Linked DNA regions of Astyanax mexicanus. The protein of the gene in region 1 interacts with the protein of each later gene in a pairwise test. Links are inferred from orthologs where the notes say so. Each region holds a gene or a part of one and is shown in the gene's direction. Other genes may lie near its edges. The genes, in order: sptan1 and evlb.

What was found.
Region 2: the proteins of sptan1 (region 1) and evlb interact in binary tests that used the Homo sapiens proteins (3 or more experiments, as listed by UniProt). The link is inferred for Astyanax mexicanus from reciprocal best matches to the Homo sapiens genes SPTAN1 and EVL.

Annotation. Positions count from the first base shown.
Region 1 is NC_064424.1:38,748,137-38,756,125, forward strand, and holds the start of sptan1 (spectrin alpha chain, non-erythrocytic 1), read left to right. Parts: upstream 1-4,953; 5' UTR 4,954-5,100; intron 5,101-7,989. UniProt on the Homo sapiens protein: Fodrin, which seems to be involved in secretion, interacts with calmodulin in a calcium-dependent manner and is thus candidate for the calcium-dependent movement of the cytoskeleton at the membrane.
Region 2 is NC_064408.1:73,272,977-73,280,774, forward strand, and holds the start of evlb (enah/Vasp-like b), read left to right. Parts: upstream 1-4,740; 5' UTR 4,741-5,297; coding exon 5,298-5,383; intron 5,384-7,798. UniProt on the Homo sapiens protein: Ena/VASP proteins are actin-associated proteins involved in a range of processes dependent on cytoskeleton remodeling and cell polarity such as axon guidance and lamellipodial and filopodial dynamics in migrating cells.

The DNA of each region.
Region 1 (7,989 bases):
AATTGAAGATCAAATTTTCAGTGATCTTCAGTGATTTTCAGTGACCACCCCTGAAATGTACCAAAATACTGGAATGTCCCAAGAGTGCTGGGAGCTAACACATTTTGGTCATTACAATGTTTTCTAAATGTTACAGGTAACATTCTTAGGGTGTTCAATGTGTCCAGTTTTTTGGATGTTTTTAGAATGTTTTTAATAATCGTTTTTATATTCATAGATTTTATCTATCTAGGAACGTCAAGTGAGAAACATAATAATAATTCTAATAACGTCCTGATGCAAATCAGTATTACATCACATTTTTTTAGAACATTCCTGGGACATTAATTCTGTGACATTACAGGTTAACCTTTTAGGCACCTTTTTATAGCGTTCTCTGTTTGCTGTGTTCATTATTGAGAATAAACTAAATCATTTAAAAATATTTTTTACTCCATGTGGTGTGTTTCATTACATTTATTACATATACTACCAGATTCAATTTGCACATGGTTGGAGGCTAAATGATTATATAGAAAATAATGAGTTTTCTTTCTTTTTAGGTTTTTCATTTCTCATTTTCAAATTAAATTTTCAGGAAAAAATACTAAATTAATCTTCTCTCTGTCCTTTAAGTGTTAATGTTTGCATCTTGTAAGAAAAGTATGAAGGAGAACATAAGTATAAATACGTAAATGCACATATAAATGAATGAATAAGTAAATAAATACATGCATAAATGATTTTATAGATTAATAAAATTAATAAATTAGTAAATACATTTTGTCATTACAAAGGACACATTAAAAATTAAATCAGGAATCTATTTCCATATTTCCAGAAATTAACCTTTATTTGGGGATGTTTGTTTATTTTTTTATTTATTCATTCATACATATAATTATTTATTTTTATATTTATTCATTAACAGGTCCTTCACAAAAAATAGCATATTGTAATAAAGTTAATTCTTTTTCATAATGAAATTAAAAAAATAAACTTTCATATATTTGAGATTCATTGCACACCAACTGAAATATTTCAGGTCTTTTATTGTTTTAATACTGATGATTTTGGCATACAGCTCATGAAAACCCCAAATTCCTATCTCACAAAATTAGCATATCATGTAAAGGTTCTCTAAACGAGCTATTAAGCTAATCATCTGAATCAACGAATTAACTCTAAACACCTGCAAAAGATTCCTGAGGCTTTTAACAACTCCCAGCCTGGTTCATTACTCAAAACCGCAATCATGGGTAAGACTGCCGACCTGACTGCTGTCCAGAAGGCCATCACTGACACAGAAAGAAATTTCGGAGCGAATAGGTTGTTCCCAGAGCGCTGTATCAAGGCACCTCAGTGGGAAGTCTGTGGGAAGGAAAAGTGTGGCAGAAAACGCTGCACAACGAGAAGAGGTGACCGGACCCTGAGGAAGATTGTGCTTCTGCGGAAGCAGTGGACTGAGTCTGGAGTAGAAACATCCAGAGCCACCGTGCACAGGAAATGGGCTACAGGTACCGCATTCCCCAGGTCAAGCCACTTTTAAACCAGAAACAGCGGCAGAAGAGTCTGACCTGGCCTACAGAGAAGCAGCACTGGACTGTTGCTCAGTGGTCCAAAGTACTTTTTTCGGATGGAAGCAAATTTTGCATGTCATTTGGAAATCACGGTGCCAGAGTCTGGAGGAAGACTGGGGAGAAGGAAATGCCAAAATGCCTGAAGTCAGTACCCACAGTCAGTGATGGTCTGGGGTGCCATGTCAGCTGCTGGTGTTGGTCCACTGTGTTTTATCAAGGACAGGGTAAATGCAGCTAGCTATCAGAAGATTGTGGAGCACTTCATGCTTCCATCTGCTGAAAAGCTATATGGAGATGAAGATTTCATTTTTCAGCACGACCTGGCACCTGCTAGGGCTGAACGATTTTGGAAAATAATCTAATTGCAATTTTTTATCTATAAATTGCGATTGCGATTTAAAATGCGATTTTTTTTGTCTTCTCAAGTATTTTTCAACAACAGAAGCAATAAATCAATCTGTTTAATAATAAACAATGTCAGATTTATTTAAAGCACAGATAACAATAAAGCAAAAAAATCTATGCTTTTCCTTTTCACCATTTGTTTTTTTTTATAGAAAAATAAATACATAAATAGCTTTTCCTTTTCACCATTTTTTTTAATTAGGAAAAACAGTAGATTGTTAACTTACTTTAACTTACTGCTCTCCAGCTAGTAACATCATGAAAAATTTAAGTGCAAAAAACATAAAGAGAATCTGCTTTAACCAACTCGTTATTTTCTGTATTTGAAGATGCAGCACTGGTCGTTGGCATTTTAGCCTTGCAAATACCACACGAGGCTTTGTGGTGTTTTTAAATGCTGAAAAAGGTTTGTAGTGTTACCTCGCGTCGTAGCAACAGTAGCAAGGCACGTTTAGCACAGTACCTGACGTTGAGCAGCATCTTCTTTTTTAAAGCCAAAGTAATTCTACACAACTGTTGTGTTCTGTCGAGCCTGAAGCCATTGTGCAACAAGGGCGTTTTCACACCTGTAGTTCGTTTCTAATGAGTTTGTTTACTTGGAGCGTTTTCTCGCTCTGTTCGGTCTGGTTTCCCACAGGCATAAATTAGGGGTTCACCTAATACCCCGGGGGTTCAGCCACTGCCCCTCGGTTATCAGTCACTGCCCCCGCCGCGGGGTTCAGCTAATGCCCGGCGGCCATCAGCCACTGCCCCCGCTGCGGGGTTCTTCTAATACCCCGGGGGTTCAGCCACTGCCCCGCGGTTATCAGCCACTGCCCCTGCCGCGGGGTTCACCTAATACCCCGGGGGTTCAGCCACTGCCCCGCGGTTATCAGCCACTGCCCCCGCCGCGGGGTTCAGCCACTGCCCCCGCCGCGGGGTTCAGCTAATGCCCGGCGGGCATCAGCCACTGCCCGGCGGTTATCAGCCACTGCCCCCGCCGCGGGGTTCAGCTAATGCCCGGCGGGCATCAGCCACTGCCCCGCGGTTATCAGCCACTGCCCCCGCCGCGGGGTTCAGCTAATGCCCAGCGGCCATCAGCCACTGTCCACTGTTCAGGTAATACAGTACAGGAGTGGCTGAACCCCGCGGGGCAGTGGCTTAACTCCGTGGGGCATTAGCTGAACCCCGCAGCGGGGGCATTAGCTGATGGCCGCGGGGCAGTGGCTGAACTCCGTGGGGTATTAGCTGAACCCCGCAGCGGGGGCATTAGCTGATGGCCGCGTGGCATTAGCTGAACCCCGCGGCGGGGGCAGTGGCTGATGGCCGCGTGGCATTAGCTGAACCCCGCGGCGGGGGCAGTGGCTGATGGCTGCGTGGCATTAGCTGAACCCCGCGGCGGGGGCAGTGGCTGATAACCGGGGGGCAGTGGCTGAACCCCGCGGCGGGGGCAGTGGCTGATGGCCGCGTGGCATTAGCTGAACATCAGGGTAGCAACAGGACAGGGATAGTTTAAGTATTTACTGTTGCTGCTAAAATACGTGCCACAAAACATAGTTTAGTGTCCATAACTCCACTCTCTCATCGTAACGCAGCTTGACTGACAAGGAGGGTCCGCATCAAGCACTTCCTGTGTGTTAGACCCTCCCTTTCCGTCAGAAATCGCAGTTTGTAAAAGTGTTTCAGCGTTTGTAAAAGTGTTTTAGCATTTGTAAAAGTGTTTCAGCGTTTGTAAAAGTGTTTTAGCGTTTGTAAAAGTGTTTCAGCGTTTGTAAAAGTGTTTCAGCGTTTGTAAAAGTGTTTTAGCGTTTGTAAAAGTGTTTCAGCGTTTGTAAAAGTGTTTCAGCGTTTGTAAAAGTGTTTTAGCGTTTGTAAAAGTGTTTCAGCGTTTGTAAAAGTGTTTTAGTGCTGGTAAAAGTGTTTCAGCATTTGTAAAAGTGTTTCAGTGCTGGGAAAAGTGTTTTGCGTCTTGTAAATTTGTTTTAAGTTTTGTAAATGTGTTTTAGTTTTTGTAATTTTGTTTTCTGACATGTTAATTTGTTTTGCACTTCAGGGCCACCGTAGGAGTGCGATTACTGTTTTTACACCTGCTCAATCGAACCGCACTAAAGTTCCAGAGTTCGTTTTAACCGGACCAAATAGTGCTGGTGTGAAAACGCCCTAAAGTGCGCTGTGTTGACTTCACTTCTCCACCTCCCTGCCTTCTGCTCGGGTATGCTCCGCTCGTCCTCGGGTATGCTCCGCTCGTCCTCGGCTTGGCTCGCTCTCAAGTCACGTGACCAGTCAAATCGCAGCCAGTGCGGTTAGAGAATCGCGTTTTAAAATATCGCGAGATGCAAATGCAATTAATCGTTCAGCCCTAGCACCTGCTCACAATGCCAAAACCACTGGTAAATGGTTTACTGATCATGGTATTACTCTGCTCAATTGGCCTGCCAACTCTCCTGACCTGAACCCCATAGAAAATCTGTGGGATATTGTGAAGAGAAAGTTGAGAGACGCAAGACCCAACACTCTGGATGAGCTTAAGGCCCCTATTGAAGCATCCTGGGCCTCTATAACACCTCAGCAGTGCCACAGGCTGATTGCCTCCATGCCACGCCGCATTGAAGCAGTCATTTCTGCAAAAGGATTCCTGACCAAGTATTGAGTTCATAACTGAACATAATTATTTGAAGGTTGACTTTTTTTGTATTAAAAACACTTTTCTTTTATTGGTCGGATGAAATGTGCTATTTTTTGGGATTTTTGTTTTTTCTTTACTTTTTTGCCAAAAGCATCTATATTAAAACAATAAAAGGCTTCAACTACTTCAGTTGTGTGTAATGAATCTAAAATATATGAAAGTCATTACAGAAAATAATGAACTTTATCACAATATGCTAATTTTTTGAGAAGGACCCGTATATGTGCATTTTTTTTGTCATTTTTCGTCATTCACCCTGAGTGCACCGTAATCTGCTCTCTGGCAGCGGAGACTCGGCATTTATCGGCAGCGCTCGGAACCGCTCGGCGAGTTGCTGCGGCGCCAGACGTCATCGCCTCTGAAGGCCTCGCTGGTTTCAGTCATAGAGCGAGATCGCGATTACAGTACGAGCGTAGGCTGCACCCTGCCCTGACCCGGTCCAGCAGATCCTTACACCTTTAACTCAGCGAGGTAAGAAGCTCTGCCGCCGCCCGAGGGGACCTGTATAGATATAGAGCGGTTTAACACAGCAGCAGCTGTGTGTGTTTAAGCGTTTCTGCAGAGCTAAATCATAATTACGGTTGGTACAGTTTACGGCATTAGCAACGCCGAGGGGCCCGGTCACCGCTCACCATTCACCAGCTTACACTCACCTTCAGTTCGGAGTCTGCAGCTTATTGTACTTTTTTGCATAGTTAATAACGTTATTTATTAGCGCTATTTAATTAGCTAACCGAATATAGCAGTTAAGCATTGTTATTTCGAGGCGAGCGTTAGCAAGGTTAGCTAGTTAATGCTCCGTATGTTTTTGCAGTTTTGCCCAGAACACATAATACTAACCTAATTTAGGTTGTAGGTAGCTATAGCTGAACGTTACGCCATTTTAGCTAACCGTTTAGCCCGTTCAATATTAGCTAGTGAAGTATTTCATAAACTATTGACAATAACAGTATTTTCATGAACGAAATCAACGTATTTTACCGTCTTTCACCGTCTGCAAAGCAGACTAGCTGTGCTATAGCTGTGTAGAGGTGGGTAACCCAGGTCCAGAAAATAAAAATCCATCCCAGGGTTTTGCCTGGGCGGCTCTTTGTTTAGCTAAGCTGCAGCAGAGCCGCCCAGGCAGTTGCTACAAAACCCTGGGATGGAGTTTTACTCGTTAGCGCTGTAGCCACCCGGGTGGCGGTTTAGCTGCAACAGCTGTAGGTTAACTAGGTTAGCTCGGTTGTCGATCTCCTAATCATCGTAAAATACACTACTGTCCAGCAAAATTCATACAGAGGAAGAATGAACGAGCTGTAAAACGTAGCTCTCTAGTCCTTCACTGTGTCTGCAGGTCTATATAAACGTTCAAATCGATCTTTTTCGTCTGCAGTGACAAACAGCTATGTTCGAGGAGCCGCCCAGCTCTCCTCTCTCAATGAATTTAGATAAGCGACCTGAAAACAACCACATTCATCGAGGCTTTCCATTAAATTACAGTGTGTATAAAATATTAATACAACTCTAGGCTGGATATTTCAAATATCACATCGAGAGTAACGTCTGAATATCATTAAATGGGCATTAATTAATCTCAAAAAGAATTTCACAAAATGCATTAGCACAGTGTACAGACATGGCGAAGATAGCTAGTAAAAAAAATAAATATGATTAATAATAATATACGGTGTAAACACAAGTAAAATACATGTATAACTATAAAACACCTGTTTTTATAGTTTATATTTATACAATGTGTAGTATAGTGTAACTATACAGTCCAGTGTAAGCAGTACAGCAGGTAAAGTCTCTGTACATTGTAAACATTCAGTGAGCTAGATTTATGTTAACATGTATAATTCTCTGCAATCACACTCGCAGTTTCTGTAGGAACTGCAATCTAGTTGTATATGAGTTCTGTAGTCAGTGTCTAAAGGGTGGATATTAATGAATGGATGCATTGCCAGTATTTGCCTTTAACAAACAAACAATTCCTGTAAAAACAAATAGAACTGGATGTTTGCACCCATTAAGTATTGTGGAATTATTATAAAGGACCTAAAGAGTCACTCTGGTTTTAAAAATGCATTAGTAGGTGTAGATCAGGTTAAATGTTTGCCTTCTTATGCCTACCCTGACTGGGTGTCAGCAGCTGCGTTCCCTACCAGAATTCCTCTAATTCCATTCAGACTTAGTGCCTTTATAATGATGGGGAACTGTTCAGCTACTAAGTGAACCATTTTTTGGTGTTGTTTTTTGTTGTTGTTTTTTGGGGAGGGTAAGACTGAAATTAAATCCTCAGATATACATGATCTCAGCTCTGCTGTGTCATTCACTATCACCATGACATGCCCACAGAGCAGTTGATCGGCTGCAGAGCTGCTTCAAATGAATGAAAGAAATAGTGGAATGTTTTTGTGCTTGGCCCTAATTAGCATGCATGGCTTGTGATCTGTACATAAAAAAAACACACTAAAACCCACAAGTGGTTTGTTTCTCCTCAGAGGACATGAATGAGGTGACATTTACAGTCAGTGTGTGAGCTTTAGTTTCTTCAGACGCTCTGAATTGCAGTTGCTATTCACATTTTGGGCCTATTTTGGTAAGAGAGCCTTGGATATTATATTCTGTTACACCTATGCAGTCTGTTGTTCATGTGTTATTTAGGTATTTAGCAATGATATCAGCCACCTACCCAGACCAGTGTCTGATAGAGGAAGGACGTCCAGTAAGGAATGCTCTCCTCCCTTTTCCTTTTCCTCTGGAGCTGATGTAATGCACACCGACTTTAAACCTCTCCTCCAATGGGTGTGGTCCCAAAAGCTAAAGCACTGGAACTTGGGGTCCTTCTCAGGGGCCCTTGGGATCAAGCTGCTTCCTCTTGCACAGCTGTGCATTGTAGCTGACTCAAGTCTACACCCATAATATCCATGCAAAAAAAACTCTTTCTGCCTTTCTGCTCAGGTGAAATGGTTGTAAACAAAAAAGTTTTAGTATCCATGACAGATTTTTTTAGTACACATTTTAACAATTAATGGGAACGGTTCTTTGAGCAGTGCCACAAAAAAAACATTTTGTTACAGATTTTGTTTTTAAATTGAAGTTTGTGTGTGTGCAAATTATTTTAATGTAAACCTGTTTATTGAACTAAAGTGGTTCTTTTATGACATTGCTCAAAAACACTTTGTAGCACCTAAGCCTTTCATCATGATTTATTTTTAAGGTGATGTACTCTCCCACAAATTATTGCAATAAACAGTAGTATTGTCATACTAACACCATCATGTTATGACACTGATATAGTGAAAATATAATGATAAAAAAAATAATAATCCAGTTACATTCAAGAAGTTTAATTATTATGAATATGCAGACATT
Region 2 (7,798 bases), on another chromosome or scaffold:
TTATCCATTTTTCTATGCATTCTTGTGTCTTTAGGCTGTTCTTTCTCATTTTTCTCTCCTTTGCGTCATTCGTCTTTTCACACTCTCCCTCCTCCAGTAAAACTGAATTAGGTTTGATGGCTCTGCTTCTGCTTCATTCATATGCTTATTTAATTACTCATCTCTGCCTCAATCTGTTCATCTGTGTTTCTCCCCCCTTTAATTTCACTCTCAGTAGTGCTGCTCTGTATCCAGTGTGATCGGGTGCGAGTCTAACAGAAGGCTGAGCTCCTCTGTATTGCGCTAATGGCTGTACAGTTACAGTAGACACTCTTGGCTGAGCTCAAATGGAGGTGTTCCCCTTTAAGGATTAGAATGCAATCTGCAGTCAGGCAGGAACCTGCTGGAGAGAGAGAGAGAGAGAGAGTGGTGGGGATGGTGCTGGGGGGAGGGGCTGCATGTACCTTTGTCTAAACAGCCTCTACAATATTTCCATATCTATACATCTACCTACCTGTTTGTGTTGATGGCTGACTGTATATAATGTATGATTAGTGTTATGATTAGGGTTTTCGGAACCTAGCTGAACACTCCACTTCCTGGTTCTCAGGGATTTGTATGTTCTCTTCCTGTCCACTCTTAACAAACAGAAAATCACACGTATAAATAATGATACATTAAATAATAATACAGTAAAGAAATTGGAAGCATTAATCGCTATTTCTAATAGTCTGTTATTGCTGAAAAGGTACACAAGTAGTGATTCATTCATTTTTTAGATTCAGTAACAGGTCTTTAGCATGTCTGAAGCTAGTCTTTTCTTTTAATGCTGATGTCACTTCGCTTTCAACAAGCAGTTTTTGCTTGTAACAAGCAGTTGCCAGTCAGTAAATGTATTATTTTAATTCTAACAAATCTTTCAGCTCTTCATTTGATTTCTTATAAAAATCAATTAATTTTTATTTTGTGAAAAATGCTAGTTTGTCCCATTAAAGCTATAATATCGTTTACATGACTTTGCTAATATAAAAATATACTTAATAGCTCAAGTGCATTCCTTTTCCTTGCAGTTAACTGTTGCTTAATGGTAACTATGGTATTCCTGGTGGTTTTCATGGTGTTGCTAGCTGGTTGGAAGGCGATTAATGTGGTATTCCAGATGGTTGCTGTGGTGTTTCTAAGATGTTGCTTTGGTGTAGCTAATTAAATGCTATAGTATCTTTGGTGGTGTTTCTAAGAGGTTGCTATGATGTAGCTAAATTAAGGCTATGGTATACCAGGTGGTTGCTGTCGTGTTCTTAAGATGCTGCTATGGTGTAGCTAAATTAAGGCTATGGTATACCAGGTGGTTGCTGTGGTGTTTCTAAGAGGTTGCTATGGTGTGGATAACTAAATGCTATGGCGTCCAAGGTGGTGGCACTGGTATTACTAAGAGGTTGTTATGGTGTAGCCACCTGAATGCTTCAGTATCGCAGGTGGTTGCAGTGGTGTTTTTAAGTGGTAGGTGATACCTGGTGTATCAGGTGGTTGCTATAGTATTTCTAACACAAGATGGGTTCTTTAGTTAGGTATGATTATTGCTGTAGGATTTCAGCTGCTAGGATGTTGACTTTGTGGTTGCTAGGTGGTTACAAGGCGGTTGCTATGGTTTCCCAAGTTGTTCTCACAGGTAATGTGCTGTGAGTTTCTGTATTGATTTTTAGGTAATAAAAGTGCATTTGTATCACTGTAACTTTTTCACCCTGTATGCATCACACAATTAGAATGAAAATCTGGAGTTGAAATCTCAAAACCGGCCAAGTTATGCCACAAACATCTCAGATAAAAATTATCAAAATGGAAAACAGATGAATAACTATATATTTTTGCAGTGCTTTGCAATGTGCAACCATAAAAATGTATAGAAGAATCAGTATGTTTTAGATCATAAGCCAAGTTAAGTCATAATCTGTAACTTGTGTTACTTCTATGATAACTTGGGTCTAGAATATAGCTGTTTTAGAATGTAAGCGTACATTAATTACTGTTAAAGTATGATACGTGTGAGCATATTAGATTCCTTTTCCAGCAATAAGTATCATTACTAAATGCATGTGTTGACCTGGTAATAACATCAGAGAGACGCGATTAAATGGACTGGAGATCAGAATGTATGCCTTTGTTCCTGGATCTAATTTAATTTATGTAATTTAATCAGTGTGTAGGCTTTCTGAGTTAATGAACTACATATAGGCTACAGGTCTGCTAGAGGCCTATTGATTGTTATGGATTTAATAGGAGGTTCACTGGCAGCTGCTGCTCTTATTGAGAAAGACATTTTTCATTTTATCCGCACATTATGGATGAAATACCTTACTGCTTTTTACGAAGTACACATAGACTTAGAGATATTATGTTTCTATTGTTATTTTTTTATTGCAGTAGTATTTTCTGGATATTAACAAAATATTTTCAATGTTTTCTTTCATGTTGACAAGAATAAATCAAAAATATCCTGAAATACTGTGACATTTCTAGAGCCATATTGCCCACTGCTATAGCACATGTAGTATACCTCATACAGAGTACTGCTTAAAATATGAAGGTCATCTTTTAAAATTTGATAAAACGTTAGATAATCATGATATAACATTTTAATATCAGCTTATACTCACCTCACAGTATTTTCTGTAACATTTTTGTAATATATGATTTTTATTTTTAGATTCCTAAATTTGATTCTAGGATGTAAACTGATAAATAACTGATGATGTAATACTTAAAAAGACTACAGAAAAGACTGCAGATCAGTCACAACATTTGTTTTTGCTTAAGTCTTGCAGATACCTTTTGGGACTGAATCAGAGAAAAAACGATTTGGTATGATTGTATAAAATTACATAAAGCTTTGTGATAGGATTACACAATCTAGTGCAACACATCAGAAAATAATACAAACAGAACCTTCTGAATAAGCAGAAGACAGGACATGGCCTCTACTCTGTGCTGTACACTGCAATCACAGGAAAGCACTACCTATGCTCTTACACTTCACAAATGCATCATAGGTAATGACCATATTAAACAACATAAAGCTGTGCAGACTAGACTGTATCAGCAGCAGCTCTGTAAATTGTTTCTGAGGTCAGTAAGTGTGACAGACCGTACTGGACTTTCTGTCATTATTTACTGCATGGACACTTTGGCATTAATAGTTTCTTCTGAAATCAAGGTTATTAAAAAACAAGTTTATCCTGCTTTTGTTGGAGTAACTGTCAGTATTGTCCAGAGAATACTTTTTGCTAGATTGTAAATCATTACTGTAAGAACCTGATTGCCATTCCAGACAGCACAGTTCAACTTCTTCATAGCTCAATGCTATGAATTATATCCCTCTAGCCGACGCCTGGCAGCAGGCATGTTGCCTAAAGGTTCATGTTCCTCAGGACTCTCTTCTTCAGAGAGTCCTATTCTATTCTATTCTATTCTATTCTATTCTACACTGCCTGGCTGAAAAAAAAGGTCACAAACTCTAATATTTCATTGGAGCGTCTTTAGGTCTGATAGAGGGACGCATTCACTGTGGCATTGTTTCGATAAGCTTCTGCAATGTAACAAGATGTATGGTAGAGTCTGACCGCTGCACAAAGCCTTCACCAGCACATCCCAAAGATTTTCAATGGGGTTAAAGTTTGGAGTCTGTGGTGAACAATTCGTGTGTGAAAATGATGATCTCATGCTCCCTGAATCATTTTTTTTCACAATTCCAGACCCATGAATCCTGACATTGTCCTCTTGGAATATGCCCGTGTCATCAGGGAAGAAAAAATCCATTGATGGAATAACCTGGTCTATATTCAGTATATTCAGGTAGTCAGCTGACCTCATTCTTTCAGCACATATTGTTGCTAAAACCCAGACCTGACCAACTGCAGCATCAACCCCACATCATTTACTTACTTCAATCCAAGCAGAATAAAAAATTCTGGTGTGAAAACACCCTTAAATCAGCTGAATGCATTCATTAGAAGGTGTGTCCACAAACATTTGTACATATAGAAGCAGATTCCCAGATATAATTTTAGCCTAGTCTTGGGCTACACAGCAACGGAAAGCCTAACACTAGTCTTAATCCCTGGCTGGGAAACTGACATATAGTGTATGTGTACATGTACTACACTACATGTTCGAAATATAATCGGAATTCATAATAATAGGAATTCATGTGAGATCAAAATGTTCAAACATGTTAAGTGACAACTGGGGTTTAAATGGCCCAGTCAGAATGAAAGACAGATTGTATGGAACGTTATAGTATCCCCATCACTGGGAGGGTGATGGAAGATCCTCCTGTCGCTTTAATTCTTCACTTGATCTTGATCTTGATCAAAAAGCCACAAATGCCCTTTATTAATTAACAGTCACAACCACACCCCTCCCCACTGTCCACACTGGTTTAACATTAGAGCTGACTACTCCCTAACACAGAGAGCGAGGAGGAATGGAGTGAGGAAGGGAGAGGGAGAACTGAGGAATGAATAGATGGAGGGAGAGAAGAAGAGAGAGAGAGAGAGGGAAAGAGGAGGAGCCAGCAGCATTGGCATTGAGGGGGAGGGGGGCTCCTGGCCTATGGGGCTAGCCGACCATCTCTCATGTCACAGCTGGAAGGGGAGGAGGAGGAGGAGAGAAGGATAGAGGAAGGGAGGGATGGAGAGATGTAGGGTTGGGGGAGGGAGCTGGTAATCCACTAGATGAAACGAGAAAGAGAGAGAGTCAGTGCGAGGGTGATGCCTCATAGCGAGCATCATAATTTCATTCAACCGAGAAGAGCACTCTATCTCTCTCTCTCTCTCTCTCTCTTTCTCTCTCTCATTCTCTCTCTCTTTCCACTACTCACTCATTAATGTGCTCCTCCAGTGCGGCGCTCTTCGTCTGCTCTGATTGACTGAGGATGAGATTACAGCTCTTTTTCTTTTTAAAGCTTATCACAGTTAATTTGATTTTCATTTTTTCCTCTTTTTGACTATTGACTCTGCCGAGCTCTTCAAGGATTGGGGTTTTAGAAAGAAGCTAGGAGTGTGTGAAAGAGTGCTGTGTGTGATGGACGTTGGCCTTTCTGCAACTCCTTTCTGCTTTGGACAAGGTGGCTGAGATGCTTCTGCTGTTTCAGTTACTGAACCATTAACGTTAAGATCTACTACAAGGGTAGTGAGAACGGAAGAGGGGGAGGGGATCCTGACACCCACCGAGCAAACGAGCGAGTGAACGAGACGGCCGGTCAGAAGGTAGAGGAGAAAGAGGAAAGAGCAACCTGTTCCTCTCTGCTATGACCTGAAGCGATGGATATTAACCTCCAGTCACACCGCTTCTACTTCCCCCAGATCTACTGTGATGCTGGCGCTCAGGTCACCGAGTATAAGATCAGGTAGGTTTCAGTGGCAGCTGCCCGCTGTCCTCTGTGGCTGCTCGGAGGTGTGGAGCGGAATTCTAATTGAGCGGCTTTTATGAGAATGAGGAGGTTTGGAGGATGCTTGATTTACAGTCTCTGCTGGAGCTTGCCAGGCTGCGGCTAGCGCCGACACAGATGCTCTTAATGCAATTGAAGTGTAAGACTGTGGCTCTTTTGTTTTCCCTGTGTCTCGCTCTGTCTTTCTCGCCTTCTGCAGGCTGTTGGTGAAGGTGATTCCTCCGAGGCCTCGTGAAGCTGCATCAGCAGTACAGTTAGAGCAGAATACTCTTGAGTTCTAGCTGTATAACTTCAAAGGTCTGCATTCTCAGTCTACATTCAATAGTGTAGGATGGTGCTGCTGACCTTCTGAGCTTGAATCAGCACTTTCTAACACAGGTTTCTAAAGAAAGAGCATCTTTGAGATGCAGGGGAGCATCACTTTTATTGGTTGCTCAGGTACCGTTCAAAAGAACTGATGCACATGACACAGTGTACAACAAACCTGTAGGGAGCACCGCTGGGGCTGTTTGTACATGGGATAGCAGTATGTAAATTGATCGTTACCTGTTACCTGAGGGGGTAACTTGGGAAAAGACACATTTGTATAAATTTAAAATTCTTATTTTGAGATTGAGGTTGAACACATGGACTGTTTGAGTTTTGTTAGCTGGTTGGGACATTCCATTTCTTTGCACTGGCATTTAATATTCCTAAATCCACAGGGTCACATGCAGACTGGAAATACATCATAGATGGCATTACCATCCACAGTGCACAGTGCAGTAGATGGTAATAACTGTGGCCAATCTGCAGCATTTGATTAGAATTGTCTGTGTAAACAGTTAACCAACTGGAAATAATCACATCCCTATTCAGTGCAGATGGCCCACTCACTCACTTCCACTAGACATGGCAATGGCAAAAAATAATGGGACACAATACTAAGTCCTGTCTCATGACTTTTGGCAAACATACAGCTCTGGAAAAAAATAAGAGACCACTTAGAAATTATGAGTTTCTTTGATTTAACCAAATTAAAAACATCTGGAATATAATCAAGAGGAAGATGGATTATCACAAGCCATCCTACCAAGCTGAACTGCTTGAATTTTTGCACCAGGAGTGGCATAAAGTTATCTAAAAGCAGCGTGTAAGACTGGTGGAGGAGATGCATTAAAAACTGTCATTAAAAAACAGGGTTATTCCACCAATATTGATTTCTGAACTTTTAAAACTTTTATGAATATGAATTATTTGAGGTCTGAAAGCTCTGCATCTTTTTTATCCGCCATTTCTCATTTTCTGCAAATAAATTCTCTAAATGACAATATTCTTATTTGGAATTTGGGATTTTTCCTTCTTTTCCCCAATTTTTAGATTTTTTTTTTGTCACAACACTGTTACTAATCACAGTAATAAAATATGGTGAGTTTTACTACATTTCCAGAACCTGCTCTCTTCAGTTCTGAGTTAAACAGTTTGTTTTTCGACTGGGATCAGGGCCTAGCGTTCTCAGTAACCCTGTGCTTTCATCGCCAACCTGACTTTATCTGTCCATTTCTCCACTCATCCATCGTTTCAGATTTCATCTCGCCCTCTAATCTCTTGCCTCTCGGCAGGACCCATCCATTTTTTCTCCCAATCGCACGATTAGAGCCGATTTAAAGACCCGGGCCGGGTATTTTTGGTCCTAATCAGATTTTATTTCTGCGATGGCTCAATCCTTCCTGCTGGACTGTAGAAGAAGAAAAAAAACTCAAGCCTCACCACTGGATTTTGAGTTTGGCACGGTCGCCTGCATGCTCCTCCAGAATGTGTTTGACTCACATTCAGAGTGTGTTTTCTCTGGTTTGGGAGATAATCGCTGTGTGTGTTTGACTTGGACGTAGAGCTGGTGGTTGTTCCTGCAGAGCAAGGATTGTATTACCGGCTATAAATCCATACCCTGTCCTGCAGGAATCAGGGCCAGAGAAGAGATTTTATTTGCTATCCATAGGGATTTGTCACATATTGTTTTAGTAAAGAGATGTTTCACCAACTCCAACCTCACAGAGACCTGTAGAATAAGAAGCAGGGTGGAAAATTACTGACTGAAAAACAAGTCACTATTAATGACCCATGAAGAAAAGCAGTGTGTCTGCTTTGGATGGAGGTTGTCAGATAGTTTGTCCTGTCACTTTTATAGGAATATCAATTCTTCTTTCTGTTTGCACTATAATGAGTGAACATCAGCCAGACCACAGTGTAGGGGCTTTTAGCAGTGGAGCTGGGTCACACATATTTACTGTGGTGTGGCTGTTGGGTTTTGTGGTGTGGATTTTCTGGCTGTTTACAGTTCACTGCTCTAGGGCTAAGTGTGCTGGTGCTATTAATGCTGGTGGTAATGCTGGT